Linked DNA regions of Alligator mississippiensis. The protein of the gene in region 4 purifies or fractionates together with the protein of the main gene of each other region. This does not show direct contact. Links are inferred from orthologs where the notes say so. Each region holds a gene or a part of one and is shown on either strand. Other genes may lie near its edges. The genes, in order: NOLC1, ZC3H18, GPC1 and CAMKV.

Region 1 (8,068 bases), on a different chromosome or scaffold from region 4:
AAACAGCTGCATGTAGGTGGTAAGTCTGTTGTGGTGGAAGGGGAGGGGGAAGGGAAGGAGTGTGGGGGGAGATCAAGTCCCCTGCACTGAAGAAGCAGTGCTGGGGCAGGCGTTGCCAAGCCGGGGCAAGGCGCAGGATGGAGCCATGGTTTGTCCAGGGGGGTGGGGCATGGAGCAGCTCCTGCTGCTGCGCGCATCCTGGGGTGGGGTGTGTGCACGTGTGCCCCCCAGACCTGTGTGGGGCAGGCTGCAGCTGCAGGCTGGGGCCGCACTCAGGGTGGGTGGCAGTGCTGAGAGGGGGACTATGGGGAGAGGGCTGCAGCCCCCGCCCAAATTTCACCATAGCCCCCCCATAGCCCATCCTCCCAGCACCGCCACCCCCCCTTCTGCCAGGAAGAGCCTGGCACAACCCCAGCCGCAGCCTGCAGATGCAGCCTAACCTGCACCCCACGCAGATCCAGGGGCACATGCCACCCCTCCCCCCCAGGGTGCATGCATCACCAGGAGCCACGCCCCTGCCCCACTATGCCTGGACGAGTTGTGGTTCTGTCCCGCCCCCCGCCAGGCAGCACCTACCCTAGCTCCTTCCTTACTCCCTCCCTCACCACAGGGGCCTTTTCTTTACATCAGTGCTGATCCGATATCGGACCAATGTATCGGTGCACCTCTAATGCAAAACACTGTCCTTCAGATCAGGGGTCAGACTGCCACCCGAACAAAATCAACACAGAACAACCCTGTTCAAGGGACTCCTAGGGCAGTGGCTCCCAACCTTTTTTTGCAGCAACCCCAAATCCAGATCGTGAACCCTGCCCCCAACTCACTCATGCCCGGTGGTGCCAGTAAAGCCTGGGCTGGGCTAGGATTGTGGGGGGCAGCGGCAGCGAGAGCCGCATGGACTGTGCACCGGGACAGCCCCGCAGGCAGAAGAGGTGGAATGAAGGGCAGACCTCCTGCGACCCTGATTTGGGTCATGACCTGAGGTTGGGAGCCACTGTCCTAGGATCTACAAACACACACCTGTGCTTAAAAAGAAACAAAAAAACCCAAGAAAAGTAAGCAAAACAACCCCAGAAGCAGCATGACTGGGGAGCTAGGTAGAGCAGAAGCAGAAACTGGGGGAACTTAAAAAAAACTGATCCAAACTCCTCACAAGATAAAGGAGTGGCTGTGTCAGGGTATTCTCTGCTCCTGCTCTGACACTTGTGGTACTGGAGATCTGAGTGCAGCTCGACTCTCTGCCATTTTTATCTCAATACAAGACAACTTAGAATGTAAGACAAATACCTAATAATTAGATTCTATATATTAACTTTTTACAATTTTCCATGCGCAGAATCTAATTCTTGGGTGGGTTGTCTTAAGTGTGTCCCTACCATTGCTGTGACAGGGAAAACAGCAGCAGGGGGGCAAGTAGTGACAAGGAGATACGCAGCTTGTCTCCCACCTCATGCTCCCTGTGCCTGCATCACCTGGCACCTGCCCCCCTAGCACTTACTGCCTCCCTGGTGCCTGCCCCCCTTGGCACTTAGCTCCCTCTCTAGTCCCAGCCTCTTCCTACCATTTGCCTTCGCCTTCCCCCCTGCCACCACCACTTACCCCAGGTTGTGGCTCCAGGTCTGGGTCCAAGTCCAGTCCTGCTCTGACCCAGGGAACATGCCAGTTCTGGCCCCTGCTTGGCTCAGAAGCAGCAGCTATGGACCTGCCCCAGCCCTGAGTCAGCACTAGAGCTGCCAACACTTGCAGCAGCTGCCATCCCAGGTAGAGCCTGGAGATAGCATGTGCTCTGTGCTCTAGGCCAAAGCCAGGACCCCAGGTAAGTAACAGCAGCCAGAGGGGGAAGAGGGACGCAAAGGGGTAGACTGGCATGGGGCAGAGACGGAAGCTCTGACTCTGGGTCAGGGCTAGAGCCACAGCAGCTACCTACTGCTCCATCTTGTTCTCAAATTTACCCCCCACCTCTGTTGAATGGGGAAAATGACCTCATCTCAGATTTGAGTAAGTATGGTACTTTCTGACCAGAAACGCTAGAAAGAGTTTGACTCTAGAGTAGGAGTTTCTCCATGAAAGCAGTGAGGATTCCCAAGCTCAAAACACGTAACCCTCTGAAGAACATACAGATGCCCTGAGCCCAACCCCCTTTCTATTGCATTGTCTTTTTCATGGGGCTGAAACACGCTTAACTGTCTGTTCTGGATTCATAAATCAGCGGGGCCAACCGTTCTGGCAGATGCGTCACAAATTAAGCCCCGTACCCTCCCTGAGTGCCACTCCAACCCCCCTCCGGCGGCATGACCTGCTGCTCTGCTTTCTGCCCTCCCTGCCGGGGGCTGCAGCCCCCTCCTTGATCTGCCGCGTGCCATGCGCAGACTGCTTGTGCCACGTGTGGCACACATGCTGCAGGCTGGCCACCCCTGACTTAAACAGAGGGTTATGGTGAAACCTAGTGTTTCAGAAAGGCTTACGCCAACCCACGACAGCATTTGTGTTTTACGCTCAGGAGCGGCAGCTGCATCTGAGCTGAACTCGTCTGGTCCATGCACTCCCAGTCACAAACTCATGCACCACTCGCTGGCCCTTGGTGTTGGCTGTCCAGGCATGGCTGGCTGGAGGAAGCACTCACTTCCCAGCTGGAGCAAGGCGTCTCCCCCATCCAAGCCCGCGAGCGGGACCCTCCCCCCACGGACCGACCCGGGGGTGGGGAGGGGAAGGAGGGCGGCGGCCCGGCCCCCAGCCCGGCCGCACCTGGCCCCGCCGGCACTCACTTGAGCCAGTGGTCGAAGACGTCGAGCAGCGAGGCGGCGTTGGGGTCCTGGTCCGCCTGCAAGAGCACACACGGGCGTCAGCGCGGGCCCGGCCCAGACCCCCAGACCCTCCGGCCCGACCGCCCCCCGACCCGGCCCAGCCCGGCCCGCACCACTCCGGCCTCCCGGGCGAAGGCGCGCGCGGCGCGGTCGAAGCGGTGCTGCCGCAGAAAGCCCAACACGAGGGGCAGCAGGTCGCTGGGCACCACGCGCCGACCCGCCATGCTGCCGCCACCACGTGTACCGCCCGCCTCCGCGGTAGGGGTCGGAGGTCAGGGGTCGGGGGCCAGGCCGCCGGCAGGGGCGGGCGGAGCGCGGCCGCCATCTTGAGGTCGGGCAGCGCTGCTCGGCAGCTGCTGGCGCCACCTGGCGTCGGGCGGCCGCACTGCGCGTGCGCCGGGCAGCCCAGCCGTCCGGGGGCGCTATGGTTATGGTGTTTGCACAACCCCGGCACAATGTACGGTCAATGATAGCCACGGTGTTCAACATGTAGGGTCATTTTTTGAGGCAGCGAATTGATGCAGGATGTGCAGAACCCAAGTCACTCGGAGAGTTTTAACCCACTTTTTTTTTTTTTGCAAAAATACTTCTATATAAATAAATAAATAAATAAATAACTCCACCTCCAACAGTCTGCCAAGTTCACTGGCAGCGCAGCACACTGAAAACCCATTACACGGTTCGCACCGCGTGACCGCGCACCCGTCCCTATACCCGTCCCCGCGCCCACTGCCCCACCCAGAGGCGCTAATTCTGAAAATGTCTATGCCAGGCCCCTCTCCACCAGATGAGGTCTGCCATTTCTTTCCTGTCATCCTCTTGTGTCTTTCTGTAGTACCAGTACATTTCACTTTGTCCTTTTTTAATACAGTCCTCAACTGTGGGGTCCAAGTGTCAGTCTGTGAGCAGGTAGCTGGTTTTGCACAGTGCCCACCTGAAGCAGGCAAAGAACTGGTCGGGGCCCCGTGCTGTCTGGGCAGGTGCAGTGGCATAGGCGGTGCACGGGGGAGCACATGCACCCCCTGAGAGCGCCGGTGCACCCCCCGACCGGCAGCACTTGCCGCTTAGGCGATGGGCAGGTGGGAGTGCCGGTGCCCCCCTGCAAGCGCCGGCTGATCGCTGCAGTCACTCCCGGAAGCGGCTGCGGCTATAGGTCGCAGCGATCGGCCATTCCGGGATCGGCTGTGGGGATCTTCCCCGGCTGCGGGGGTACCCCCCAGTCAGCGGGACTGGTCACAAGCGGGGCACAAGTCGCCCATGGTCAAGTGCCCGTAAGAACCTCTTCCCTGGTCAGGTCTCTGAAACCTCCCACCACCAGGACGAGCGCACAGACTTTCTTCCCACCTCCCTGGCGTGTGGGCAGTCCCAGAAGAGACGGTCGCATGTTTCTGCCTGCCTGCATCAGGTCAGCCTCAGGCGGGGCAGAGTCGTAACCGACTGCCGAGGTTGCTGTCAGCACTGTCTTGTGACAGCTGTCCTCGAAATAAACAAACGCGTCAACTTGTTCTCACTCACTCACTGGCGACTTAAAGTGAGAAGCAATATAAAGTCAATAAAAATAATTATTTGCATACTTATTTGCATACGTTTTCAGTGTACAATCGTTTTTCAGCAAATGTGATAATTTCAAATTTGATCATTTCATTCCTTCAAACCCTTAAACCCGATGTGCCAGCCCTGGTGCCCTTCTTGGGGCTGCCAGACCCTTGGGCCTGGCCTGGCCTTGCCGGGGTGGGCTTCTAAAGCAGTGAGTCTTCCTCCACCCCTGAAGAGCCCCTCAGGGGTCACACCATGATAGATCCGCGAGGGACTCACAAGAGAAATGCATGGGGACCCCACAGGGCTTGTCCTGCCCTGCCTGGGGTCCAGTGGGGCCCTGCCATCAAAGAATGGCTGGAGGCAAGAAGCAAGGCGCCCATGGCCTTTCCAGTGGAGCTGCATCCTGCGCAGCTTGCACCCCTGCTCTAGGTGCTGCCATCAGACTCGGATGCAGGCACCTCCCCAAAGGCAAAGGCGGGAGCATGAGGCAAAGCCAACAAGTGGCAAAGATCCAGGCCAGAGCCCTGTCCATACATGCCCCCCTTAAGCTCCTGCGGCTGCCCCGGGGCTGTGGTGGGCCACCCGGGAGTCCTCAGCTGGGGAAAAGGACCTTGTTGAGCTGAGAGGAGGCTTTGCAGGGGAGCTTGGTGGGGCCTGGCTGGGGGCCTCTGCAGGCACTGAAATGAGGCCTGTTACTGTAGCACCCAGCAGCCCCAGTCACCAGTCAGCATCCAGGGGTGCTCGGTGCTGTACCTCCAGAGCAGGAAGACCACCTGTACACAGAGAGCTTGTGAGTGAAGCATAAGGCAGTGACAGATGAAGACAGACAGATGGAGGAACGCAAGGGAATAAAATGAGAATACCAGGCACCATGGGAGGCAACAGTTTTGGCAGCCTACTCATTATCCGTACAGTTTCCTTGAAATCAGGGCAAAGGAGAATCCTGATGAGGGTCTTGAGACTGAATAATATGGTCATTCTGCAGATGATTATGGGGAGCCTGTCCCAGGCATGGAGAGCAGGATGAAAGGCTTGGGTTGAAAATCTAACAAGTGGTTGATGGCAGCTAACATCATGAGTTGATCAGAGGAAATAGACCTCTTGATGCAGAATGAGAGAGGATAGGTAGGGTAGGGATAGTTTGCAAAGGGATTCATAAGTGAAGATGAGTAGCTTATGTTTAATGAGAGGATCTCTCACTGTTTCCAATAGGATTGAGGCAGGCTGTCCTCTTGCAATCTTGGTTCAGAGTCTTGTGTTGTTGGACATTATGGGTAGGAAATGGGATGCACTTCAGGCCATAAGGCCATTATTAGACTTTGACATTATTACAGTGCTATTATCTGAGATTTTAGGAGTGCTGCTCTCTCTTGAGGAGCTCTCAACACTGTTGAATCTGTATCACCAACTCCTCTACTTCTTTTGCAAATGTAAGATTTGATTTAAATTTAAAAGAGAGAGAGAAAGAGAGAAAGCAAGCCTGGCACTGAACAAAGAAGCACTTGCTTTTGTAATTTTAAATTTAAATTTTAAACATATCTATGGTGTACGGATCTTCAGGAAAAATAAAATTCTACAGGGATTTGGTATTTATACGCTTATTGACAAGAAACACAGTCCAGCATGTATTACTGTAACACAAAGAATTGGGTTCTGCAGAAATAACTCTAAATGGGCTGATGTGGGGAGGAGATTGCTTTGGTAGACATAAGACATCCTGCAGTGGGGGCTTGGTATGGTTATACTGATTTCTCTCCCAGCAGCAGTGTACCCTGCACTCCAGTAGCAGGGAAAATCCAAAATATGCTGAGCTCACTGTGTGGCTGTCTTCCTCACTTTGCCATCTCCAAAAGCTTCTACATCCAGAAGCAGCCACATATCTCAAAACTAGATCTGATCCCATTAAAGCCATCCTTCCTGAACACCCTTTTGTCAGTCAATGGACAAGGACTCATTGTTAGAGTCCACAACGTCTGAGTGCTTGTGAAAGATCTTGTGTTGATACTGTTGGCTTATAAAAGCTTCTCTCGAGGAGATAGGGATTGTACTAGCTGATTCTTCTGTGTGCTTGTAGCAGGATAGAGCCCCCAGGGGTGGCTGTGATATCCCCTGATGGCAGCGCAGCTCCTGCACCCACTCTGGCTCCCTGGGCCCCTTTCCTTTTCCCTCACCTGCCACACCTTGATGTAATGAGTTGGTTTGTGAAATGGAGGCTTCCCTGGGGTCTCCAAGTGAACCCTGGGGTCTCCAAGTGAACCCTCATCCATCCTTCTTGGCCAGTTGGTCCCTCCTGGACCCCCCTGGTCCCCAAATCTGCCCCTCAGGCACTAGGTGGGCCCTTCTGATCCACCCATGCTCCCTCCAGGGCACCTGTTGCCTTAAGGGCTAATTTTGTGGTCTTTGTCCTCCTCTGTAGCCATGCCCATGCCTCGTGGAGGTTATCAGTCAATCAGTGTCAGGTCTGGTCTTTTTCAGACCTCTCCACTCTTGCTGGGGCTTCAACCCTCCTGGCTGCTACCCCTTTCCTTTCATTAGCTCCTCTGCCTAGGCCCATCGTGCTGGACCTGGCTTCTGGGCTCCAGCTCTTGACTCACCCTCTCGGACTATGTTTTGACCTCTTGGGCTTGGGGCCCCTGGCCCTAGTCTCACCCGTCTTGCGTCTCTGGCCTTGGCCTTCCCAGCTTCAGTCTGTCTCTAGCTCCCCCATCTCAGGCTGTGGGCCCCTGGACTTGGTTTCACCCTCTTGGGCTCTACCCTTTAGCCCTTCCAGCTTCAGGCCACCTCTTTCACCAGGCTTTAGACCTCTTAGCTGCTGCCTGCCTGGGGTTTGAACTCAGCCTCTAGCAAGGGCTCAAACACTCATATGCCCCATGGGCACTACTGTGGCTTGGACCCTGCCCCTGGCACAGGTCACTGACGTGCCTCTCTGGAGCTCTGGGAACTCCTTATCCCCTGATAGTCACATCCCAGCCCATCACTATAATTTTTAGGGCTGTGTGAAGCTTCGGATGGTGATTCGATTCGGAGAAGATTCAGTCCAATTTGGTGGCTGAATCTCCGAATCCAAATTGAATCAGGGGACCAATTTAAAGGTCCGAATCATTTCAAAGCTCTTCAAATCTTCAGCAAAGATTTGGAGAGCTTCGATGATTCATGCATTCCCAGGTGAGCCACTCTGAGCTGGTAAGTACTAGAGGAGGGGGAGGGGGGAAGGGACCATGGGGGGGATCTAAGTCAGCCCCCCAGCCCCCGCCCACTCCCCCAGCTGCCCTGCCTGCCAGGACTCTGGCCCTTTAAGAAAAAAAAAGTGGAGAAAAGCCCCTGGGCTCAGGCTCCTGGTGCAGCCTCAGGGCTTTGGGGGCTCCTGCAGCGCCCTCACCTGGCTCAGAGCATCAGGGATTGCCCCCTGTCCACAGCAGCAGCGAATCCCAGGTTTCTTCAGGCTTTTTTTTCTTAAAGGGCTGGAGCTGGCCCATGCGGGGCACCCATGAGGGGGCTGGGAGAGTGATGGAGGGGTTGTGGGGGCTCATGCAGAGCCCCCCATGCAGCATGGGGCAGCGGGGATTGCCTCCCACCTGGCAGCACCTGCTGAGCCAGGGCTTTTTTTTCCCCAAATGCCTAGAGCTGGGGCAGGCGGGGTGGCCATTGCTGGGCTGGGAGAGCAGGTGTAGGATGGGCCTGGCCTGGTTGATTCGGAGACTCGGCTAAATCGAATCAGGACAGTG
Region 2 (7,304 bases), on a different chromosome or scaffold from region 4:
CAATAAAAGGCATCACTCACAAAAACTTTTTGCCTTTGGCATACTTCCTGGACCATCAGGGCTATAACATCACTCCAACATTATGAACACAGGTTAACTCGTTGTCATCAAACCTCAAGAATACTTTCTGTAACCACGCTGAAAGTGGCTTTGTCCTTTAGATGCTGCTACTTAAGCAAGGGTTTGAGAAAGACAGGACTACTGGAAAAGCTCTATCAAGTTCCAACAATTGCTGCAGAACCTCCTGTCATTAAAAAAAAAAAAATGGTTCAGCCAGTATACTAGCAAAGAGAATCTCAAAACCCTGATCAGAGCAAAAACCAATGAAGTAAGAGTCTCCTTCAGGTGGCTCTAGTACTTCAGTGACTGCTCAGTGCTTTCCTAAAGAGCAGAAAGTGAAAAGTTGGCCAGAGCTGGAACAGAAAATACTTTGAAGTTCCATGAGTCATCGGCAAGATGGATAGTTGCAGAAAGGTGAGAGCAACAGTAGCAGCCCTGCGAAGAAAACCTCATAACAGGACTTCAGGAACAGAGTGAGGAACAGATTGGAAAAGACCTCTAGTCAGAGCAGATACGACATCGCGAGAGACTCTTACAGACTGGCTCAGCAGCCAGCAGGAGGCTTTCTTCCTGAAAGCATTCCCTCTCCCTTTCAGCTGTCAAAGAGAGCTGGAGGTGATGAAAGGGTTTCACATACATCAGACACGTAGTAGCCAGAGGCCAACACAAAAACAGTCCACAGCAGAGCTCCTGAGCAGCATCCAGTTGCAGCTGTACAGTGAACTGCAGCACCTTTTCCTTTGCAAACAGCAGAGAAAAGCTGACTTCTCTAATCTGATCTTTGCCCTGTCATTATCTTTTATGTGAGTCTGTTTCTGGTAGTCCATGGGATATCTAGTACCTGGCAATTCCTTTTGGCCAACCTATGTATATGGGTGGGTGAGGGCCAGTGGGCAGATGTAGGGAAAAACATCAAAAGAGAAACACTAATGGGATAGGTTAGACAAAGAGCAGGATGATGAGTGACTTGGGGAGATGGACAGGAAGACAGGAGACAAACAGAGGTGAGGAGCTAGGGAAAGAAAAAATATAAAGGAACAGAACAGAAAAAGAGACGCTAAATATGGCTCAGAAAAAAAAGAGACAGTGGGATCTAAGAAGAGGAAGAAAAGATTCAGATGAAAGCCAAGAAGGTAGGCAGAACAAAAGCTGAGGGGTATAGTTAAAGGCCTGAAAACCTGCAACACTCATGGACCCAGAAGGACAGACCTCCATCTCCAGCTTCCCACTGTGCAAAAATGAAGTTTTATTTCCTACCTAGGGGACATTTTACCATCTTTAATTTTCCCTGATGAACGGCATGTGAGCCCAAAAGCTTGCAGAACAAGACCAATTTTTTTTTTTTGCGATTTCTTAGTTGGTCTGATAAAAGGCATCATCTCTCTGAACCAAGAGTTCTAGATTTTTGCATTTCTTTTTGTCTCAGACCAACACAGCTACCAAACACATCCCTGAAAACCTGTCAGGTAGCTGACAAAGTCAATAAAATCAAATACATACCTGCCCTGCTCCCTTAGAGAAAGTACGGTTTAGAAGATGTACGTGTGTGCGGGTGAGGGGCGACTTGGATTTGTCAAACTAGTGGGGAGGCATCAAGAAAGCCTCTCAAAGGCTGCACGAAGCTCTCTTCAGCACTAGTCCTACAGCACTCCCTTGTGATAGCCACTTCCAAAGCCAGCTTCCCACATCCCCCAAGTCGCACTTTCCGAAACCCTAACTCCAGCCCAACGAGGGGACACAGTTCCCTGCCTTCTCTGGTGGATTAGAGACTGAACAGCTCCAGTGCTGGAGTTCAAACGTCACAACTTACCGCTGCTGGGGCAAGTCAATCTCTTCCACTAGCTGTTCCCTATGGGATACCAGTCTGCTACTGGGAATAAACACATTTTTAAGGCATTCAGCACACATGCATGAATAATTAGGCAGCAGAGTTAAGCATTCAAGTCAGCCAAGGATTTGTTTAGATCAGGAAAAGATTTTGATCTCTGTCCCGGGTCCAAACAAACCTGGAGGTGCTCGGGAGCGAGAGTTCAGCTCTCTTCGGCTCTGCTGTTGATTCATGGGGAATATTTGGGGGGTTACTGATCCTAACGCACTGGAACCACGGCAGGAAAATCCTCCCTGGAACAATGATGGCGGGTAATTCGGCAGCACAGCACTAAGGGCAAAGCGCGCGGATCCTGCTCGGGGCAGAGGCTGCGATGGCAGCTCCTGCAGGGAGCCTCGGGGAGCAGGAGACGGCCCGGCTGGCACAGGGCGACGTGGGGCTGGGACGCGCCGCTCCGGGTGATGGCGGCACCCCTGGGAGCTGGACATGGGGACCTTCTTCCCACGCTCCTCCACAAAACTCACGAGCACGTCTGGACGCGGCTCCCCTGCGCCCACCCCCCGCCCCACAACCTCTGTGGGAGCCAGCCCCTCACCCCCTTCTCCTGGTGTCTGGCCACCGGCCCCCAGCCCCTCCCCCACGCTGCTATGCCCAGCAGGCCCCTGCCGCCATTGGGCCCAGCCCCTCCCCCACTCTGAGGCACCCAAGCCCACCCCCCACATGGGTGTACCCCCCCATGGGACCATCCCCCCAGTGTACTCAATGGGACCCCCCCTCTAGTGCACCCCCCATGGGACCATCCCCCCAGTGCACCCCCCCATGGGACCATCCCCTCAGTGTACTCAATGGGACCCCCCCCTCTAGTGCACCCCCCATGGGACCATCCCCCCAGTATACTCAATGGGACCCCCCCCTCTAGTGCACCCCCCATGGGACCATCCCAAAGTATACTCAATGGGACCCCCCCACTCTGCTGTACCCCCCCCATGGGACCATCCCCCCCACTGTGGTGCACCCATCACTGGGCCCCACCCCTCCCCCACTCCGGTGCACCCAAGCCCATCCCCCACACGGGTGCACCCCCCCAATGGGACCAGGCCGCCAGCCCCCGCTCTGCACGGATGCCAACCCCGCAGCCCCTCCCCCCACTCTGGTCCCCATCCCCCATTCTGGGGTGCCCGCCCCCCCATGAGGGCCCAGCCCCGTCCCCAGGCCCCGCCCCTCGCGCTGGGCCCGGGCCCCTCCGCGCTTGCCGCCCCCTCCCCCGTCCCGGGCCGCTCCTCACCTGTGCGGGGGGAGGGGGCGGCGGGGGGGCCGGGGGCGGCGGCTCCGGCTCTGGGCGCGCGACGGGGCCTCTACGCGCGGCGGCGGCGGCGCAGGGCGGCCATGGCGTGACATCATCAGCGCGCGACGCAACGCGACGCGCCCGCGCAGGCGGGAGAGGGAGAGGGAGGGGGAGAGGTAGGGGGAGGAGGGAGGAGGGAGGAGCAGCCCCCGCCCCTACCCGGCCGGGCCTTAAAGGGGCCGCGCCCCCGGGGCACGTGGGCTGGTGTCCCATGGGCCACACGGCTCAGTGCTGGGGCTCTCAGGTGATCACCCCCCCTCCATGAGCCGCACAAATCTTACAAGGGGGGTGCTCTTGAGGTCGCATCCATATGCAGGGGGCAGGATCAGCCCCCTCCAGGCACCCCCAGAGTGACAGAAATCCGACAGCAGTGGGGTTAGGGGGGACCCCTCCCCCGACAACCCCCTGCTTGAGGCAGGATCAGCCCCCTCCAGACTGTCTATTACAGCAGGGGGGCTGGGGGTCATATCCATATCCAGGGGGCAGGATCAGTCCCCTCCGCAGCACCCCAGACACCCCCAGAGTGACAAATCCGACAGCAGGGGGGACCCCCAAGGTCGCATCCAGTCCAGCCCCCTGCCTGAGGCAGGATCAGCCCCCTCCAGACTATAAAGCACCCCCAGAATGACCGGAAATCCTACAGCTGGGGGGGTAGGGACCCCGAGGTCAGTCCCTTAGCTAGCCACGTCTCTATCACAGTCCTCCCAGAGCAGCGCAGGGGTGTCTGTCATGTGGATCTCAGGCCTGAGCTCGGTGGCATGCCCTATGTCTGCAGTGGGCTCAGCTCCTTGCAACCACGCGGGCATTAGCCCTAGGTGACCCGCTCCTGCCCTGGCCGGGTGCAGGCTGTATGCCAGGGATGGGCTTTGCTCGTGGCTTGCAGGAATCACCTGGCCACGACCCAAGGGGCTGCACCATCCTCTGGGACTTTCCCCTCTTCCCCAGCTGGCGGATCCACCCCATCTCCACAACTGTGGGGCTCCATCCAGCGCGGTCCTAAGCAGGGACGGTCATGGGGGCAGCTCATGGGTCTCCCCTGCGGTTCCCGGGGGCCAGCATTCACCTGGGTTCACGGGCTGAGCTGCCAGATGCCGCTGTCTTGTCCTGCCCTGCGCTTTGGTTTGGCTGGCTTCATCCTTGGGAAAAACACATCACTAATCTTAATAAGCAAGCAGTTCCCAGTCCCTAGCATTATGCAAATACACGCTAATTAGCAGCGCCCACACCCCCAAACCCTCACAGAAGATAGAGGCAGATTGTGCATTGATGATGGGCTCGGTGTGGCTCAGCACAGCAGTGCCAGAGCTGGGATCCGCTCCCCACTGCTGGGCCATGCCTGAGCCCAGGTTACGACGTCTGCAAATGCTCTTGCACCTGCAGCGGGAAGGTTGTCACAGCACTGTGAGCCCCAGACTGCCCCTGTCCTGTGGCAGCCCCTAGCAAAGGCCAGGAGCAGCTCAATGAGCTGTGCTACCCCAACTAGCACGGGGGCTGGAGACCCTCAGCAGCAGCATGCACAGCCCTGCCAGGGCAGCTCTGGGAGGCTTGTGCCCATGCCACCGCTATCCCTTAGGAGACCAGGTGGGGAGGCAATGGATGTGGTTTGGCAGGGAGGGCACCACCAGGTCCCTGCTGTGGAGACTGTGCCCTCCCCTCTCTCCACCTGCATTGGCTCCCAGCTGGGCAAGCTGCAGATGCAGCAGGGAAACTCTTGCCCAGGACACTTCCCCCACCTGGGAGCAACACAGGCCTGGAAGCAGCCGCCTGGGTCAGCTCCCTGTAATTACCACCCACCTGGGCCTGAAGAACCTGCTTTGGCTTCTCCTCCGCAGCCAGCCACAAACCCATGAATGCGCCCGCAAGGCCTCGCAGGCAGCCGGAGAGGAGAGCGGGGAGACCCCTGTCTTCCTGCGGAGGCAGGGACCCCACTAGTCCCCGGCTCCAGCGGGGTTTGCTGTGATGCCTTGAGAAAGCCAGTGCCCCATGGGGCAGTTCTGCCTTTGAGGCAGGGCTGCTCCTTTCAGGACTGCAAGGCATGGACAGCAAAGCCAGGGATCTCCGCTGAGCTGCGGGCCCACAAGCCAGGCAGGGATGCCCCAGGGCTGAGGTGTGGGGCTGGAGCTAGAAGCAAAGGAGTCTAATATTATATGGCTGGAGATGAACAGAGGGGTGCAGGGCTCGAGACACCCAGGAGCCCCCACGGTGGTGGGCACAAAGTCTCTGCTCCCATAGGTTAGCGAGGAGCGAGGAGCTGTATCAGCTGATGAGGAGTCCCCTTATATCTGCAGCCAGCCGCAGCAGCCAGGCAGAGCAGACGGGGAGAGGCAGGGAGCCCGGCTGCTGCCTGGTGGGGAAGGGATGGCGTGAAACCAGCTCGGGAATGCCAGCTGCTCCACCGTGTCCACCTGCTTCTGTCCCCTGGCTGCTCTGGGGTCCGGCGCCTTCCCCAGTAAGTTCTGCAGGGAAGTTTCTTTGGTGGGTGTTTCAGCCGCTGGTGGGAGCGGGGCTGACTTTGCAAAGAGGGGCAGCAAGGAGAGAGCAAGGAGCTGGAGGGGACGAATGAGGGGAGGGCTGGGGATATTCCCCTGAGTTTCTAAGATCCAGTGCAAGGGACCAAAGGAACCAGGCAGCTGCAGATAGACAAAGCACCTGATGCTGCCAGCTGTCAGGCCATGCTCCGCTCCATTCCCGGTGCGCTGTCTGACATGTGCTGAGACCCCCTTCCCCGGACTCCAGCTGCGCCCGTCGAACTGTTCTGGGAATCTGTGTCCATTCCCCTTCGTGGGAGATCAGCTGGACGTCGGCTGCCAGAGCCTGCGCGACGCATCCAGGGCTGTGGGGATGCACAGACCTGCTCCGTGGTGCAGCTGGGGAGAGGGTGACACCGGCTGTGAGATGCTGACAGTGGCTGTCACTTCAGATCAGAATAAAACCCCGAGCTCTGGCCAGGGAAACCCACCCCCCCGCAGTGCTGCATTGGGCTCCATCAGAGCTTTCCCTGTTGGCGGGAAGGAAGGCAAGGCAATAGCAAGAGTCTTTGTTCCAGACAGGCTGGAGCAGGAGGTTTTGAAGGGGGTGCATCTTTTTGCTTGTCCTAGTTGGGTCGTCCCGGAGGCCACCTATGTGGTTTGGCAGCAAGATTTCCAGCTGCATCTGTCTGACGAGCCCTGTGCCCCATGCCTGCATCCCACTGGGAGCTAGCGCGGGGTGACGCGGCCAGCCTGGGTGCCCCTGGGTCCAGGCAGCACCTCAACCTCCACCTAAGGAGCGGGGCACACGCAAGCCCCGAAGTGTGGGCTTGGGGGGGTCTCTGGCATCTGGTAGCCAAGGGAGGAGAGAGCGCTACGTTCCTGCTGTGAGGCAGATGGCATTGCTCTTGCCTCTCACAGCACATGGACTACGAGCTCTCCCCTCACCAGGGACTCGGATCACCAGACACCTCCAAACTCCTCAGCTGCTGGCTACATCCCAACCCTGCTGCTGGCTACATCCGTGGCCTTGGGAGGGGGGTAATCCTACATCAGCAAGAGGGGCTGGCCTGGGTGCAATGACAAGCATTTCCAGCATGCAGCTCCATGCCAGCACAGGGCCCCCCACCCAGGGCGCACACACGTGTAGATGCCCACGACATGGGTGACTCCATGTCCAGGAGGCATCACCCCACACCCACCCCCAGGCACCGCCCCCTGTGCAGATGCCTTCACTATGAGGTCTGATGCTGGGGTCTCACTGTGCTCAGCACTGTGCAGGATCAGGCCAGGCCAGTGGCGGGAATGGCAGGGGAGGGGAGCAGACGGACCCCGCAAGTGTCAGAGAGGAAGAGAGGCAGGCAGGATGGAGGGGGGTGGGCTGTCACCATGGCAATAAGCCTGGGATGAATAGAGACAGAGGAAGCCGAGAGCCCCCGCCCGCCAGCCCCCTGCGGCAGCTCAGCACCGGCAGCTCTGATGACCGGCTACTGCCCCTCGAACTCACTGCCAAGGCCTCGCCAGCAAGCACCGGGGCTCCCAGCCGACGGGGAGGTTTGCTAAGCCCCACCTCAAGCCCCAGACAAGATTTGCCCAAGTCCTG
Region 3 (7,267 bases), on a different chromosome or scaffold from region 4:
ACTGAGTCGGAGCATGCATTACTAGAACACCTAAAACTTCTTGTGAAATGAAAAAGTGTAGGTGCGAGTGGCCCTTTCAACAACAGCCCTAGAGTAGACCGATTGCTTTTCCCTCCTAGCAGAACTTGGAGTCGGTCCTAAGAGCAGCAGCAGCAATGTACTCTGCTGGTAATCAAATTCTTGGAGGCAGGGAACGATGCTAATAAAGTGAGTTCTCACTTTGCTGAGGGAGGAAAATGGGAGAGAAAGTGGGATAGGAAGGAAGAAATAAAGGATAACTGAAGTGGGAAAACAAAGTGAACAAGGAAGGCTGGAAAACCGGTGCTCTCCACTCCTTCTAACAATGTGCATGGGTAGCACTAGGAAACGGCTTCCTCAAATCACCTCACAGGTCAAAGTAGAACTAGGCTGCTTGTTACTGAACTATCTTAATCAGCATTTTTCTTTTTACTTAACTAATGCTGCTCCTGCTGTTTGTTGATGTGTAGACATTTCTAGACGTGACTGGAATCTTAATCTGACGCAGGTTCTGCCATATGGATTATGGCCCTCTTGGTCACCAAGATGAACTAAATACAGAACAAGTGGTGTTAAGTGACCATTCAAAGTGCCAACAAAATTGGGTTGCTTAACAAACTGAGCTGTTCACAAGTGTAGAATGGTATTATACTCAGTACATTTGGGGATGCTATGAAGTGGTTTCTTCTCAACTACTACCATATTTTTATTAAATATAGACCAAACATCTTATACACAGTGATAGTCAACAAATCAGAAGCAAATACAGTATATTACCATGTGTCAAATAACATTTCCCATACATAAGCATATTTGTAGCAAAATACATTGATGTTTTATCTCAACTGGATGGATATTAAAGCTACACAGATGGAAATTTCGAAATACTTATCAGTTTCAGGCATGTATGACTGTGTTCATCGTTTTGATGTTTCAGTACAAAAGCTGGGAGTATTGGCAGCAGCATATTTGTGTGGATAGATTCTTTTCCCTGGTCCTATCTACAGTTCATTAAATAAATTCTCATAAGAATATATATCTGATTAGAAGACCATATTTATCACCATCACTATTAATCATAACATATAGTCACAGACAAGCAGTTTGACACTACATTATTTCAGCTACTGTTGTTTGAGCCTGCAAGCGTGCTAGCGTTTAAGAGATAATAAATGTAGCTCCTAAACATCTCTCTCCTCCATTATATCTTTACTAAACTCAGCATTTTCTAGACACAATAAGTTTTATATGTCTTGGACCCAGAGATATGTGATATTTGTATCTGATGCAATGCATTTCTCACAATCACAAAATACAACTGATATTGAATCCTACGGTACTATCATTCCATTTGGCACCTTATCCACCTCCACATGACAATATTTAAGTGTTCAACTCCCTTGAAAAAACTTCACAGTTGTTTGACATGTTTAAGCCATTGCTTACAGATACACGGAATAATCAAGAACAAAGAAGTGATGTTTTTGCTTAACTGAATTCATTTTTAAGGAGCTCCCATTTAAAGGATTTTTAAATTCTCCACAGGACCTTCCTATTGTACTTGAAAATCTCCCTTTGGTTCCTACTTAATAAAGAAAATAATCATTTGTTCACATTTATATGCCATTTACTTGAGCTGAAGATCAACCTCCTCCATTTTCAGGGCAGATAATGAAGACATTTGCTGTAAAACTACGCTATAAAGTATTCAGCATAAGAAATTCCACCACTCAGAAATGAACTACAAACTACAATTTTGCTGGGATGTCCCCGTAGGTTGGCTTTGGCACGTACGCCTGCATGCCTTACGCTTTGTCTAAACTGGGAAGCTCCCACAAGTGAGCAAAAAAGCTCCTAGATATGGGTCACAAGCTGATGAATCAGAACGTAGAAAAAAAAACTTTTAAGAAATAAAGAAGAGGCATGCGTGAAATCTCAGCAGATTTTTCCCAGGCTTTGTAAAACCCTACATGAGACCTTTCTATAGTCTCTCTTTTTCTATTTCAGATCCCTTCTGAAAGGGAAACAAAAAACACTGTGCATTTGTTTAAAAAAAAAAAAATCAAATCAAATCGTGTTGGCCCTCTGTATAGATAGTAGTCAGGTAACAGGAATACATGCTGATGTGGGTGGCTGAGGTTACCGCTGCCTTTCGAACACCTGACAAAGAGTCATTTCACTTCGGCTTCATTTTACACAGCTGACAAGTGCTGCTCATGCATTTGTTTCCAATCCAAAAAGAGGACAGGAAAAATCAGTACTGTTCTCTTTATAACCCTGTGGCGTTTTCTAGCGTTGACATGAAACCTGCTTGATCCTGACCGTCTGAGCTGAATCCCCCACATCGCTGCCACTGGAGGAGCAAGACAAAGAGGGTCTGCTATATCCCCCCCCCCACTAGTCAGCCACCTGATATCTGTGAACCGTCACACACCCCGGTTGGCACCAGAGAAACACCCGCTACCCGGGACCATGACAATGGCCGAGGTGACTTTGGGGGTCCAGCTCGGGGGAGAGATGGAAGGTAGGACTTTTAATTAAGGAGGGGGGGAGGGGAGGAGTGGTCCCTAACCCTCCATCCTTCCTCTCTCCTCCGCACCTGAAAACCAGCCCAAGTTCCCGTCCAGCAGATCCCAACTTCAGGGCAGCGGTGGATGCGGATAAGGCGGCTCTCACCCAGACGGGTCCCCGGCCCAGGGGCTGCGGACCGCTGCCTCCGAGTCAGGGGAGGGAGGGAGGGAGGGAGGGGTTGCTCGAGACCCTGTGGGTTTGGGGGGGGGGGGTCTCCTCCAGCCAGGACAAAGCCGCGGCTCGGCGCTACTCACCGGAGATCTCCGCCTGGGGGACCCCGCTCAGGCTGAACCCTTTGCTCCCATAGAGCTGCCGGAGCTCGGCGCAGCTCTTGGCTTTGCCGCCGCTGTCGCCCCGAGCCGAGGAGGACGCGACGCACAGCAGCCACAATCCCCACGGGAAGAGATGCATCCTCGGCCGCTGCGCCCCGCTCCCGGCCCCGCCGCGCGAAGGACGAGCCCAAGGTCCCGCCGCCGCTGCCGCCGCCGCTGCCCCCGGCTGGGGCTGGGCTGGGCTGGGCTGGGCTGGGCGCGCTCACACGACGCGGCGCTCAGCTCCACCTCCCCCGCGCATCCCTGCTCCCGCCGCCCCGGGGCCCGGCTGGCGGGGCGGGGCGGGGCGGGGCGGGGGCAGCGCGGCCGGAGCCGATGCCGCGGGGCGGGGCGGGGCGGGGCGGGCGCTAGCGCGGGGGCGGGGCGCGCATCCCGCGGGGCCGCCGCTGTGTGCCGGCGGGGCTCACCCGGCGCCACCTGCACGGCTCGCCGCGAGGCAGGGCTTCCCCCGCCGGACGTGGCATCACGCCGCCTGCTGCCAATCCGGCCCCGGCCCGGCTCCTCCCCCGCCCGCCCGCCCGCTCGGCTGCTGCCGGGCTTCAGCCCCCGGCGGCCGGAGCCCCGGCCCCGCTATTGTTCCGGGCGCGCCGGCGGCCGGGCGCTTTCCTCAGCCCGACCCGACCCCGCCCGGTGAGGTGCAGCTCCTGGCGCAGGCCGAGGGAGCCAGGGTGCAGGCTCCCAGGACAGCTGCCTTCCGGCAAGGCTCGTGCGGGCGGCAGGCGGCCCTGGCAGGCGCGTGGGCACGAGGAGCCACTTCTTACTCCAGCTGCCCGGATTGACACCCCGACCTGGCAGCTCTTGGAGCCCCGCAGCGAGAAGGAGGATGCAAAAGCGGGGGAGATCTGGCCCCGCAGGCTTCAGAGCAGACTCCTCACCGGACAGATGGAGAAAGGCGGCAGGAGAGGCTTGCCAATTCTGTAGGGAGGGCATGGTAGTCAGGGGTTAAATGCTAAATCTGCCTGTGCTCTAGGCAGGGCCTTGAGGAGTGTAACTGTCTTCTCCAATTTGACTGGAAAACACATTTAAGGTGTCAACATCCAACATAAAGGACCTGGTCCAACATATTTCTGCTCTTTGTCTAACTTCACTAAAACCTGGAAATCCAGCAGGATGCTGGGAGCCAAGGCTTGCATGTTCCATCTTTGAGGATTAAATGTAATTTCTGACCTTTCTGGAGTTCATACAGAAGCAGGGCTTGTCCTCTGCAGACACAGGACATCTTCCAGACAGCGGTGCACACGCTGCCGCACCCTGTTCTTAAAAGCTCCGGTTCCCACTAAAAAGGTGGGAACAACACATGTTAGCACATAGATTCACATCCAAATATGATGTTGCTGAACATAAATTAAGTACAATTGGTTAAGGGTCCTTACACAAGATTTCATATAAATATTTTTTCCTTTTATCTTTTGAATCTGATGGCTTCAGATCTACAGCACAATCTGCAGCTGTTAGACTAACGGGGTACAAAACCCCAGAAAGCTGCCCATATTCTTTCTGGTGACCACACCAAACCACAAAGAAACAAAACAGCAGATTATAAGCATTTGAGAGACGTGTTGGCCCTTGCAGGAATTGCAGCCAGGATTTAGTGGTAAGAGATAACTAAAGTATGAACATTCCCATTTGGGTTAGTTAAGGGACTGAACTCCAGACTTTTGGATGCAAAAGCATTAATCTCTGCCACTTGAGCTAAAGAATCAAGTCACTGAATACAGAAATAGAACCAAAAATGTAAGCCTCCATATGTGGGCTAGCTACTTACTGCAGGATGGTACAAAACAATACTGTGGACTACAGAAGGATCAAATTTGGTATGCTTTTAAAAACTGTGGCACATGGCTAGGACTGGGCTGCATTGTAGTACTTACCTGAGGTCTATTCCCACCTCTGCCTGAACGGTCAAAGCTTTCTCTGAATGATGGTTAAAGCATAAGGTAGAAGCATGAAGTCTTGCTTAATAGTAAATGTTGTGAAGTGCACAGCAGGATTAACCGGCATTAGTTAAAAGGCTAGATTAAAATCCATATTCTCTAGGCTTGTAGTTGAGTGATGGATCACAGGTCTGCACGGGAGGAAGTATGTCATATTCAAGTACTTCTTATTTCTAAAAACTATTGTGCTATGACAACACTGTCTATAGTAGGGGCCAAAATCGTATCACTTAACAGAATCCTAAAAAGTATGTGCTCTACTTATTCAGATTCACCTCTGCAATTTCCTGCATGAAAGATCAGAATATCACAAGCCAGTCTTCATGCTTTGATGGCTAGATATGATACCAGATACCATATGATACCAGACCAGTATGAGGAAGAACTGGTTTATTATCAGCTCTGCCAAAGGCTTCCTGTGTAACGTTTGCCAAGTCCCTTATGCTCTGTCCCTCATTTACTTCTTTGTTAAATGGGCAACAGCACTCTCATCTTGCCCTACTGCTATGAGAACATGTTCATTCATGGCTGTAAGGTGCTCAGAAACTATGTCAAAGGCCACATAAGCAGACAGAAAATTCAGAAGTACTACAAGTTGATTATAAGTTTTGTGGAAGCAGCTATCTGTGTCTGCATGCTGTACAACACAGAAAACAAATCTTAAATAAATAATAACGTGACTGTACTGTTTGTACTGATAAAGCGTATATATGCATCAGAACTTGGTATAAGCATACTTCCCCAAATTGAAATAAAGAAACACATCATGATAAAAATGTACTTTATGCTATAAAGTATACTGGCAATCTGGATTCTCCCCATTGTAGTTCTGAGGCTCAGATCCACTTTCTGAACACTCATTCATTCAGCATTTTGAATTAAAAGGGTGGAGCAGAGTCAGTATGAAAAAGGGGGAAAGCTCTTCCTCCACACATTCCAGAAATCCGCAGTCACTGAAAGAGCTATTTCTTTACAGGGAAAGGATGGCGGGAAAAGGGAGGGGGACCTCACAGAGAAAGAGCCAGGAGAGAAAAGAAAGACTAGAGTGAAATGTAAGGTGAGTATACATAAGAAAGACGGGGGAAAAAAAGAACACAGAAAAGAGCCAACAAGAAGAAAAAGACAGAAAATCCATTCTGCCACGGAGATCACCTCTTGTCAGCTACAGACAGCAAGTGCTGCCTCCTGAAAAGCTGATTCAAGCATTGAGCAGAGGCAGGTGTGATACAGAAGGGCCAAATAAGCTGGCACAAGATAAGAACAAAAAAGAGCTGAAAAGGAAAAAGAAAAAGAAAAAAGAAGTTACATATTCCTGGCACCCAGATCCTCTGAAAACATTATCTGATTCTCTTAAACTGATGGTAAGAAAATCAAAGGCAAACAGCAAAACATAGGTATTTAGAATTCATTTTATTATGATGATAGAGATACTGGTAGGCTTCCAAATTGCTTTGACGTTGTAGATATATCAATAAAACATTGCCCAACTGATCACTGTTTCTTTGTCTCTCTGCCTCCTGCTCTCTCTCTATATAGTGGTCTTTTGTTTTAATTGTGGAAGAACATGGATTTCAGGGTATTGTACAGAGTGACTTAGGGATTTTTTAAGCAGGGGTTCTTCAGTTTTCAAATAGGGAACACTAGAATTTCTGCTGGGGAGGCAAGTGGCAGGACCCAGGCAGAGGAGCCTGCTCTGAGCTGGCACCTTAGACCCAGCTGGAAGTGGTGCACCTCCTGGCCATTTGGGGCCAGGAGGACATGCTTTGACAGTTCAAAGGCCACCACACTGGGAACATCTGTGTGATAGCTGCCCAGATGGCCAGGCAGGGGCACACATGGCAGTAATGCTACACAAAGGCCAACTCTGCAGCCACAGCCTACTGGCAGCTGGCCCAGAGGGGCAGATGCCTCTACTGGCTGTGCAGTCCCCATCCAGGTCTGGCAGTTGCGCAGCAGGTCACAGCCAGGCAGCAGCCCCCACTGCCAGACTGCTGCAGTGGGTAGAGGGCACAGGGAACTCTCAGGGCTGCTTTAGCAATCCAGCTGGCACAAGGGGTAGTGTCCCCAGCTACAAATTGGTCAGGCCCCAGAAGTTCCTGAGAGAGCATACTCCTGAGCTACTTGCCAGGGCAGCTTTTTGTACTGCTGGGGCCAGGACAGGGCAGCTTTTTACACTGCTGGGGCCAGCACAAGTGTTGGCCCCAGGCTCTAGCTTCCCCTGGCCACAGATCTGGGAGGAACCAGGCAGGGTTATATTGCCCCACGTGGCACAACTTTCACCACACCCAAGTGCATGTCGGTACATGTGCTGAGGCAAAAAGCCCTGGCTCAAATTTGCATTGCTTTTATTTGAGCGCACGTGACTACATGTGTGGACGCGCCCAAGGAGTGCAAGGAGCAGGGCTGTTCTCT
Region 4 (7,785 bases):
AAACAGCCAAGGAGGCATTGTTCAGGGTGGTACAAGTTGCAACCGACTGGAATAGCATGCTCTGCATCAGTGCTGAGGGGCATCACAAGAAGCATGTGTGGGGAGGTGGGGGGGCATCTAGGACTTGAAGGGCACTGACAGAACAGGGGGGGAGAGCTCAAGTGTGGAACAACCGTCTTTGCCACTCTTTTCAACACCTGCCTTTGTCACAGATCTCCCATGCCAGTATCAACCAGGACCAGCCCTGCTTGACTTGCAAAATCGAAAGAGAACAGACCAAGAGAGATGTCTGCAGATCATAGAGAAAAATTCTATATAGGCTCTAATAGTCTCAACATCAATCACAGCAGTAGAAAGGGGGAAAATTGGATGCTGGGCTGTATTAAAAGAATTGATAGGGGAGAAAAATACTGTTCTATCAATCAGGACATTGTTCTCACTTCAAAACCAGCAGGAGCTTACCATCCTGTATATATTCACTGCTCAAAGGAGAGGCTAATAGCAATGTGTCAGGATGTCCAGCTGCCTGGCCACAGGAAAGGAGCACAGCACAGGGGGTAAGTCACTGGTATCACTGCATTTGCAGGTGCTTGACTGTAAGCCCAAAGAGCCAAGAGAAAGCAAATCTGTTCCATGCTACCCTATGGTAGAACAGAAGTACTCCACAGCAAGAGAACAGAAGGGGGTGCCACTTGCTGTCATTACAGAGCACTTCTGTGGCAAGAGATCAGAGAGAGTCTATGTAGATTATAAGTAGCTTGTGGAACTTGTTGCCACAGCATATCCATGAGTCAGACGCATTAGATGGAATGAAAGGGCTGAATACATTTTAGGATCACGCCTAGCATTTCCTATTATAAGAAAGATCTTGTGCTTCAAGGCATCAATTGATCCTGCCATTGGTCCATACATATAATAGACAACACTGCACAGACAGCTACATGCATCATAAGTTGTTTATAAGGAAGCAAGAGATGCTTTCTTCTGCAGGATCAGCCATTGGCTGCAGTATACAGACTACATGGCTCAACCAGCTGATCTCATCTGACAGCATTTCTGCTCCTGAGGCAAGGTGGGGGAGTCTGCCTCCTGCTCTTACACTTCAAACCCAGGCTACCTGGGTCCTACAGTCTGCAGCCTTGCAGCTGTCCTGAGCTGGGACAAGGCCAGTGACAAGCAAGAGGTCTGCCCTGGCTCCAGGGAGATGGTCAGAGAGGCTTTTGAAGCCTCCAATATCTGTGATCCACACACCCTGCAACTCAAGAGAGCAAGGCATCACCCACAGGTGTGCTCCAGGAGCTCCTGGGAAGGGGGGTTTCTCACAAGGACAACCTCAGCCCTAACACTGATCCCTCCTCACGGTCCGCTCATGCTTCTGAATGATCACAATGCTTGAGGGAGACAAGCGAATTGACATGCCCCTCTCCCAACCGCTACCTTCCCTCCCAGAAGGCAGAAAGCGAAGTCCAGACACATGCTACCATGGCCGTGGGTTTAGCAGTAGGCACCAGCAGCTCTGAAGTGACCCAGTACAGACCCGCCAGGGCCCAGCCTGCCTAGGCTGTCTCCTCAGTCCAAGGCACGCGGCACAAGAGGGGGGTACAGGCCATGGCCCTGGGCCCAGCTGCAGCACCAGGGGCCAGAATTCATCCAAGAGGTTTTCCTCACAACCCGTTTCTTTCCCTGCTGCAGCTCCCGTCTCAGGGGAAGACTCCCGACACCCCATCGCAGACCTCAGCGCTCTGCTCAACCGCCCTCCCTCTGCCAGGCAGCAAGAGGACCAGCATGAAGAGAAGCGGGCTCTGCCCCAATACCGGATCCCCTGTGCTAACGCTGGGGCTCAAAAAAGCAGAGGGGGACGGGGTCTTTTCTGGGACAACTTGGCTTCGAGTCAGGGCAGCCTTCTAAAGGACAGGACCGAGCCCAGGACGGCGGGAGATGGGCACAGGGAGCGCGGGCGGGAAGGCACAGGGGAGCTGCGGGGAGGACGCGCGCGGGCGGCGGGCCGGGAGCCGGCTTCCCGCCAGGAGGGAGCGGCTGGGGCATCGAGGGCTCCCGCCGGGGAGGGGGGAAGCCAAGCTCCCCGCCCCGCCGCGAGGTCTGGGCCGGGCCGGCGCTTAGGGGTCGAGCTGCCCCCGGGAAGGGGCCGCGCGCGGGGGTGGAGGGAGCAGCGGCTTATGGGCGGGAGGGGAGGGGAGGGGAGGGGAGGGGAGGTCCGGCCAAACACGCCCACGTGCGCCGCAGCCAGGCACGTGCCGGGGGAGGCAGCGGCTCCACACGCGCTGCCCAGCCCAGCCCCCGCCCCCCAGCGCCCGAGGCCGCAGGGCCTTGCCCCCCCCCGCGGGCAGCGCGCCCCCACGGCCCGGCCCGGCCCGGCCTTTGCGACAGCCCCGTTGTCATGGCAATCGGCGCCGCGGCTCGCGGGGGGGCGCCGCGCAGGGGGCCCGCAGTCCCGCGGGGGGGGGCTGCCCCCTCCTGGCGCTGCCCCACGTGCCGCCGCCCGCCCTGCCGCCGGGCACCTGCTGCACCGGCCCGGGCCGCCCGGGCGCTGCGGGCCGCTCGCCTCGAGCCGCTGCCAGCCCCGGTGGCCCGGGGGCGGCGCGGCGCGGCGCGGCGCGGCGGGGGGTGACGGCGGCGGGGCCTGGCGAGGTGCCCGCGCCTCCTGCCGCGCAACTTTCCCGGCGCGGGACCCGCATCGCGCACGCTCCCACGACCGCGCCGCCCGGAGCCGCTTCCCCCACGAGGCAGCGGCGGCGGCAGCACCTGCCGGACTCCGCGTGCGGGGCAGAGCGGGCGGCGGCGCCGCGCGCCCGGGGAGCCGGAGCCGGAGCCGGAGCCAGAGCCGCAGCAGGGCGGAGGAGCCCGCGCGGATGCCCGCCGAGCCCGGCCCCGCTCCACTGCAGCGAGCGGACGCGCCCCGCCGCCCCGGCTCACCTGCGAGCGAGCTCCGGCCGCGGGAGGGGTGCGCGGACGGGAGGGCTCCCCCTTCTGCTGCTGCTGGCGCCTGCGGCCCGTCCCCTTCTTTCCGGGGCGACGGGCTCCTGCGCCCACCCGCTGGGCCGGGCCTGGCCGGGCTGGGCAGCGGCTAGCGGGGGCAGGCGGAGCCGAGAGCGCGCGCGCTGCCTCGCGCCTCCAGCACCGCTCTCGCACTCGCGCTCCGGCTCCGGCGGGGAAAGTTCCCGGGACCGAGCCGTGAGCACCGCCCCTGGGCGGGACCGCCGCTGACGTCCCTGCAAACTTTGGGCCCCGCCCCCCGCCCCCGGGCTCAGCCCCGGCCCCGCGCGGCCCCTGGGGGTGCTGTGCTGAGGTGAGCTGAGCCGGGCCGCCTCCGGCAGGAGGAAGGGCCCAAGTCGGCTTGACATGCCCAGCGCCCTCCCCGCGGGGCAGCTGCCGCCCTCCGGGGACGGCCGTGTGCTGTGTGGAGGTGCCTGGGGCGAAGCGAGCCGTGGGACCCGCACAAGTGACACTCCTCGTCGTGACTCGTGTGGCAGCCCGCCGGTGTCACGTGTGCCACGAGCTACAGTCCTGGCACTAGGCACGGGGGAGGTCCGTGGAGGGCAGGGGTACCCTGGCCCCTGGTAGCTGCCGTTTCTTGTACCTCAGGGGTCCGAGTGATCTCCCACGAGGTCCCTCGGGGCTAGGCGGGGCTGGTCCAGGAGGGAAGAGGCGGTGAAGGCCTCTGGGTCAGAGCTGGGATTACAATTTGGCAGTTCCAAACTCTGACTGCTCAGTCGTGCCTCGGACCTTCCTATCCTGATACTAAGGTCTGCAATGAATTGTATTAAGACTCTTTTCTAGATGTACTTTAGCAGGGCAGAAATTCCAATCTGGATCACAGCTGCCTTGTCCCTGGTACCTTAAGTGAGAAAAAACTACTCCTGACCTGCTGGAGTTCACCAAAACGGATGCCTATCAAAGGAATAAGCTTCCCTGAATAACAGACTTTCTTCTCTGCAGCACATTAAATACCCACAGCAAGGTCTCTTTAAAGCAATATATTACTTATGGGGTGGGGAGGAGGGATCTAGCTCCATATGGCAGTTTCTGGGCAGCAAACCAGCTCACATTTTTATCATGAGATATGAAATAGTGTGGGCTAGTGGGCACACACAATGGCACCCAGGGGGTAGGGTTCTGTGGGGCATCGAAGACAAAGCTTTTACTACCTGTCAACCCACAGATGTGGATCCAGTGACAACTGGCTGTCTGCTCACCCTCAGTCTGCCCAGAGAAGCTACCCAACTACTGTGACCCATTATTCTGGCTCCTATATTCAAACACCTAGTCTTTTTGGGAAAGGGCCTGTTTTATTTAGCAGAGCCTATATTACCAGTCCTAACTTCTCAGACAACATAAACCCAGAGAACCCAAAAAAAACCCTACAAAACCAAACCCAGCCCTGCAGAGGAAATGTTCTTCCCCACCAGCAGTTGTCATCAGAAGAGACTGGGAGATTTTTAAAAATGAGATGTAGCTAGCTTGACATCTTCCCTTCAGAGGAAATCCTTCTGGGCTCTAGCTTTCTACTTGCAGAAGCCTGAAAACCAGAAGATTGGGAGGGATGGAAATTACTGCTCCCTCTGCCCAAGAGTGCAATTCAAACAGTAGGAAAGGGACAAGTGAGAAGCGAGAACAGGCAAGAAGTTTCTTTTGCCTTCAGTCATGTCAAGTTTTCCTTCTTCCCATCCACCATGAAGAGTGAGTCTGCTGGGCCTCAGAGCTCATTGATCATCTTGATGCTATTTTTTGAAGAGAAAGCTGCAGGGGGCTAGGAATGAATACAAGGGTGAGCAAAACAAAGTGACAGAATGGAGATAAGGGTGGGGGCAGTGGTCAGGGATCCAGGAGATTCTTGGCTCTGCCACTCCCCTCCCCCCGCAGGAACATAAGACTCAGATGGGTCTCCTGGGCTACTGAGTTGAGTTCTCTGCATTTGAAGGCAACTATTTCCCAAATAAATCCTTTAAAGTGCCTCTTCAAACCCTCACACATAACTACAAGGTACAAACCCAGAAACACCTACAACATACCATAGGTAAATGCTGGGGAGACAAGGGTATTCCTGGTGTCCTGCCCACAGTGCTTGCCAATTGGTGAAAATTTTCTTCCTGACCTCATATTTAGTGGTGGTTCTGACCACGAGTAGAAATGCCAGGTTACCTAGTCAGGACCTCTCAATTTTTCTAAATGCCAACAGGAGGATCAGCACAGCCCAGTCAAAACCCCTGGCCTTAGCTGTGGCCCGTGGAAAGCTGCTTCAGAGAAAGAAGACACTTCCTCTTTCTGTGTCTCAGTACTTAGGGGTGCAGGGCAGGGGGTGGGAAAGGAGTGTATAAAAAACCTATACCCCTAAAAAATGTTCCAACATGTGGGAAAGAAAACTATAGTATGCTATTAGTAATAACCTTCTGGGCTATTGTCTTTTTTTTTTATTAATCATTACTAACTCACTATTGCCCTCCAAGCTAGTGTCACTTTGTGTTATTCTGTGAAGGCCAGATCCTAATCCAACTATTGGCTGCCTAACTGTGATTGTATTTCACCCTGCTTGAGTCCCTGAAAAAACAATTAACACCAAAGGTGGTGAATCGTCCTTCTGCTTGCTGCTTTCTGTGCTTTCGTCTTAAGGCTGAGGTGATGGCATGTTACAAAAATAGGTATGTTAACATTTTTCCAGGTACACAAGTAGGGTGGTATAAGATCATGGTTAGATGTTTAAGAGGTGGAGTAGGTCCTAGCCCTGAGTATATAAGTGATTATGGGGGGGGCGGGGGGGTCAATGTATGTGGGATGGGAAGGTTTAAGCCATTAGCAATGCTCTCATTTCCCAATTAGCAAAAGGAAATAAGGATGAAGCTGTATGCTCTGATCTTACAGATTCATAGACTCATAGAAAATTAGGGTTGGAAGGGACCTCAGATGGTCATCTAGTTCAATCCCCTGCTTAAAGCAAGACCATCCCAACTAGAACATCCCAGGCAGGGCTTTGTCCAGCCAGGCCTTAAACCTCCAAGGATGGAGATTCCACCACCTCTTCAGGTAACCTGTTCCAGTGCTTCACCACCCCCTTAGTGAGAGAGTTTTTTCTAATATCCAACCTAAACTTCCTTTGCTGCAACTTGAGGTCATTGCTCCTTGTTCTGTCATCTTCCACCACTGAGAACAGTGGCTCTATCCTCTTCGTAACAACCTTCCAACTTAAAGGATGCTATCAAATCCCTCCTCAGTCTTCTGTTTGCAAACTAAATAACCCTAGTTCAATGAGCCTCTCCTCATAAGTTATGTGCCCCAGCCCTCTAACCATTTTCTTTGCCCTCTGCTGAGCTTTCTCCAATTTGTCCACGTCCTTTCTTTAGTGGGGGGCCCAAAACTGGACACAGTACTCCAGGTGTGGTCTCACCAGTGAATAATAGGAGGGAATAATTACTTCTCTTCATCTGCTGACAACATTTGTACTAATGCAGCCCAGTATGCTGTTAATTTTCTTGGCAACAAGGCACACTGTTTGCTCATATTCAGTTTATTGTCCACTGTAACTCCCAGGTCCTTTTCTGCAGAGCTGGTGATTAGCCAGTTGGTCCAAAACCTTTACTGGTCCTAAATGTAGGACTTCACTTGTCCTTGTTAAGCCTCATGAGATTCCTTTTGGTCCAATCATCCAATGTGTCTAGGTTACTCTGAATCCTTGCCCTACCCTCCAGCATATCTATTACTCCCCTTAGCTTAGTGTCATCCATGAACTTGCTGAGGGTGCATTCTATTGCATCTTCCAGATTGTTTGTGAAGATATTGAACACAACTAGCCCAGGACCAACCCCATGGGGCACTCCACTTGACATCAAGCTGTAGATCACTATCCATTGAGCCTGATGATCCAGCCAGCTTTCTATCCACCTTACAGTCCATTTGTTCAACTCATACTTCCTTAACTTGCTTGCAAGAATGCTGTGGGAGACCATATGAAAAGCTTTGCTAAATTCAAGATAGATTGCAGCAGTGCTGATCTGACTCTGCTTTGGCTGGAGTCAATGGGGATAGATCAGGGCTGAATGCATTTGCAGATCTACTTACTAAAACATGTAGGGGTGGTACGTTTTCCCTTGAACTCCCAACTCCCAAGACTTCTGGTCAAGTCATCTGGGTTTTGCTAGCCTCTGATGAAGATTGGCAGTATCTGATGGCAGGCAGCCAAATAACTCCATATAATAATGCAATTGACTGGCTCCTGGCAATTTTCTGAATGCTAGCCATGCCAGAAACTCAAGCATCTTCTTCTGACGCTATTAAGAAGAAATCAAATGCAACCGCCCCCTGTAATTATGTCAGAACATCACTCACTGCTTGGGGAAAAACTACAGCTAAGATGACAGTCAAATATTTGTTGTGACCATCTTTACATGCCCAACCATGTCATAGTCCTTAAATAATACAATATATTTAATTTTTTTCTACCCACTGCTTTCTAGATATGAACAGAGGAAACACAAAGGACCTCTTTCTCCCCTTGCTTAAATTAGAAGTAAACTGTAAATTGAATTGACTTACATTACTGTTAAATTACAAAGGGAGGAAAATTGAGCCCATTAGAGAGAGAGAGCACGTGTGTGTGTGTGTGCACACATGTGTGCGCTGCATGCAATGAATATGCAGACCTAATTTCCCTTGCCAACTTTGAAAATTTCAACCACAGGCTTTGTCTATAAATATTCTAATAGATAGATAGATAGATAGATAGATAGATAGATAGATAGATGTGTGTGAATGTATGCTAATTGGTAAAGGGGT

Evidence for each region.
Region 1: the proteins of CAMKV (region 4) and NOLC1 purify together in Homo sapiens (affinity purification with mass spectrometry; 3 studies listed by BioGRID and IntAct, counting the BioPlex papers as one, with this or other methods). This does not show direct contact. The link is inferred for Alligator mississippiensis from reciprocal best matches to the Homo sapiens genes CAMKV and NOLC1.
Region 2: the proteins of CAMKV (region 4) and ZC3H18 purify together in Homo sapiens (affinity purification with mass spectrometry; 3 studies listed by BioGRID and IntAct, counting the BioPlex papers as one, with this or other methods). This does not show direct contact. The link is inferred for Alligator mississippiensis from reciprocal best matches to the Homo sapiens genes CAMKV and ZC3H18.
Region 3: the proteins of CAMKV (region 4) and GPC1 purify together in Homo sapiens (affinity purification with mass spectrometry; 3 studies listed by BioGRID and IntAct, counting the BioPlex papers as one, with this or other methods). This does not show direct contact. The link is inferred for Alligator mississippiensis from reciprocal best matches to the Homo sapiens genes CAMKV and GPC1.

What each region holds. Positions count from the first base shown.
Region 1 is NC_081829.1:17,770,550-17,778,617, reverse strand, and holds the start of NOLC1 (nucleolar and coiled-body phosphoprotein 1), read right to left. Parts: upstream 3,063-8,068; 5' UTR 3,029-3,062; coding exon 2,918-3,028; intron 2,822-2,917; coding exon 2,766-2,821; intron 1-2,765. UniProt on the Homo sapiens protein: Nucleolar protein that acts as a regulator of RNA polymerase I by connecting RNA polymerase I with enzymes responsible for ribosomal processing and modification.
Region 2 is NC_081833.1:75,182,824-75,190,127, reverse strand, and holds the start of ZC3H18 (zinc finger CCCH domain-containing protein 18), read right to left. Parts: upstream 3,280-7,304; 5' UTR 3,174-3,279; intron 1-3,173.
Region 3 is NC_081830.1:42,556,853-42,564,119, forward strand, and holds the start of GPC1 (glypican-1), read right to left. Parts: upstream 3,183-7,267; 5' UTR 3,001-3,182; coding exon 2,844-3,000; intron 1-2,843. UniProt on the Homo sapiens protein: Cell surface proteoglycan that bears heparan sulfate. Binds, via the heparan sulfate side chains, alpha-4 (V) collagen and participates in Schwann cell myelination.
Region 4 is NC_081835.1:42,071,922-42,079,706, forward strand, and holds the start of CAMKV (caM kinase-like vesicle-associated protein), read right to left. Parts: upstream 3,177-7,785; 5' UTR 2,935-3,176; intron 1-2,934. UniProt on the Homo sapiens protein: Does not appear to have detectable kinase activity.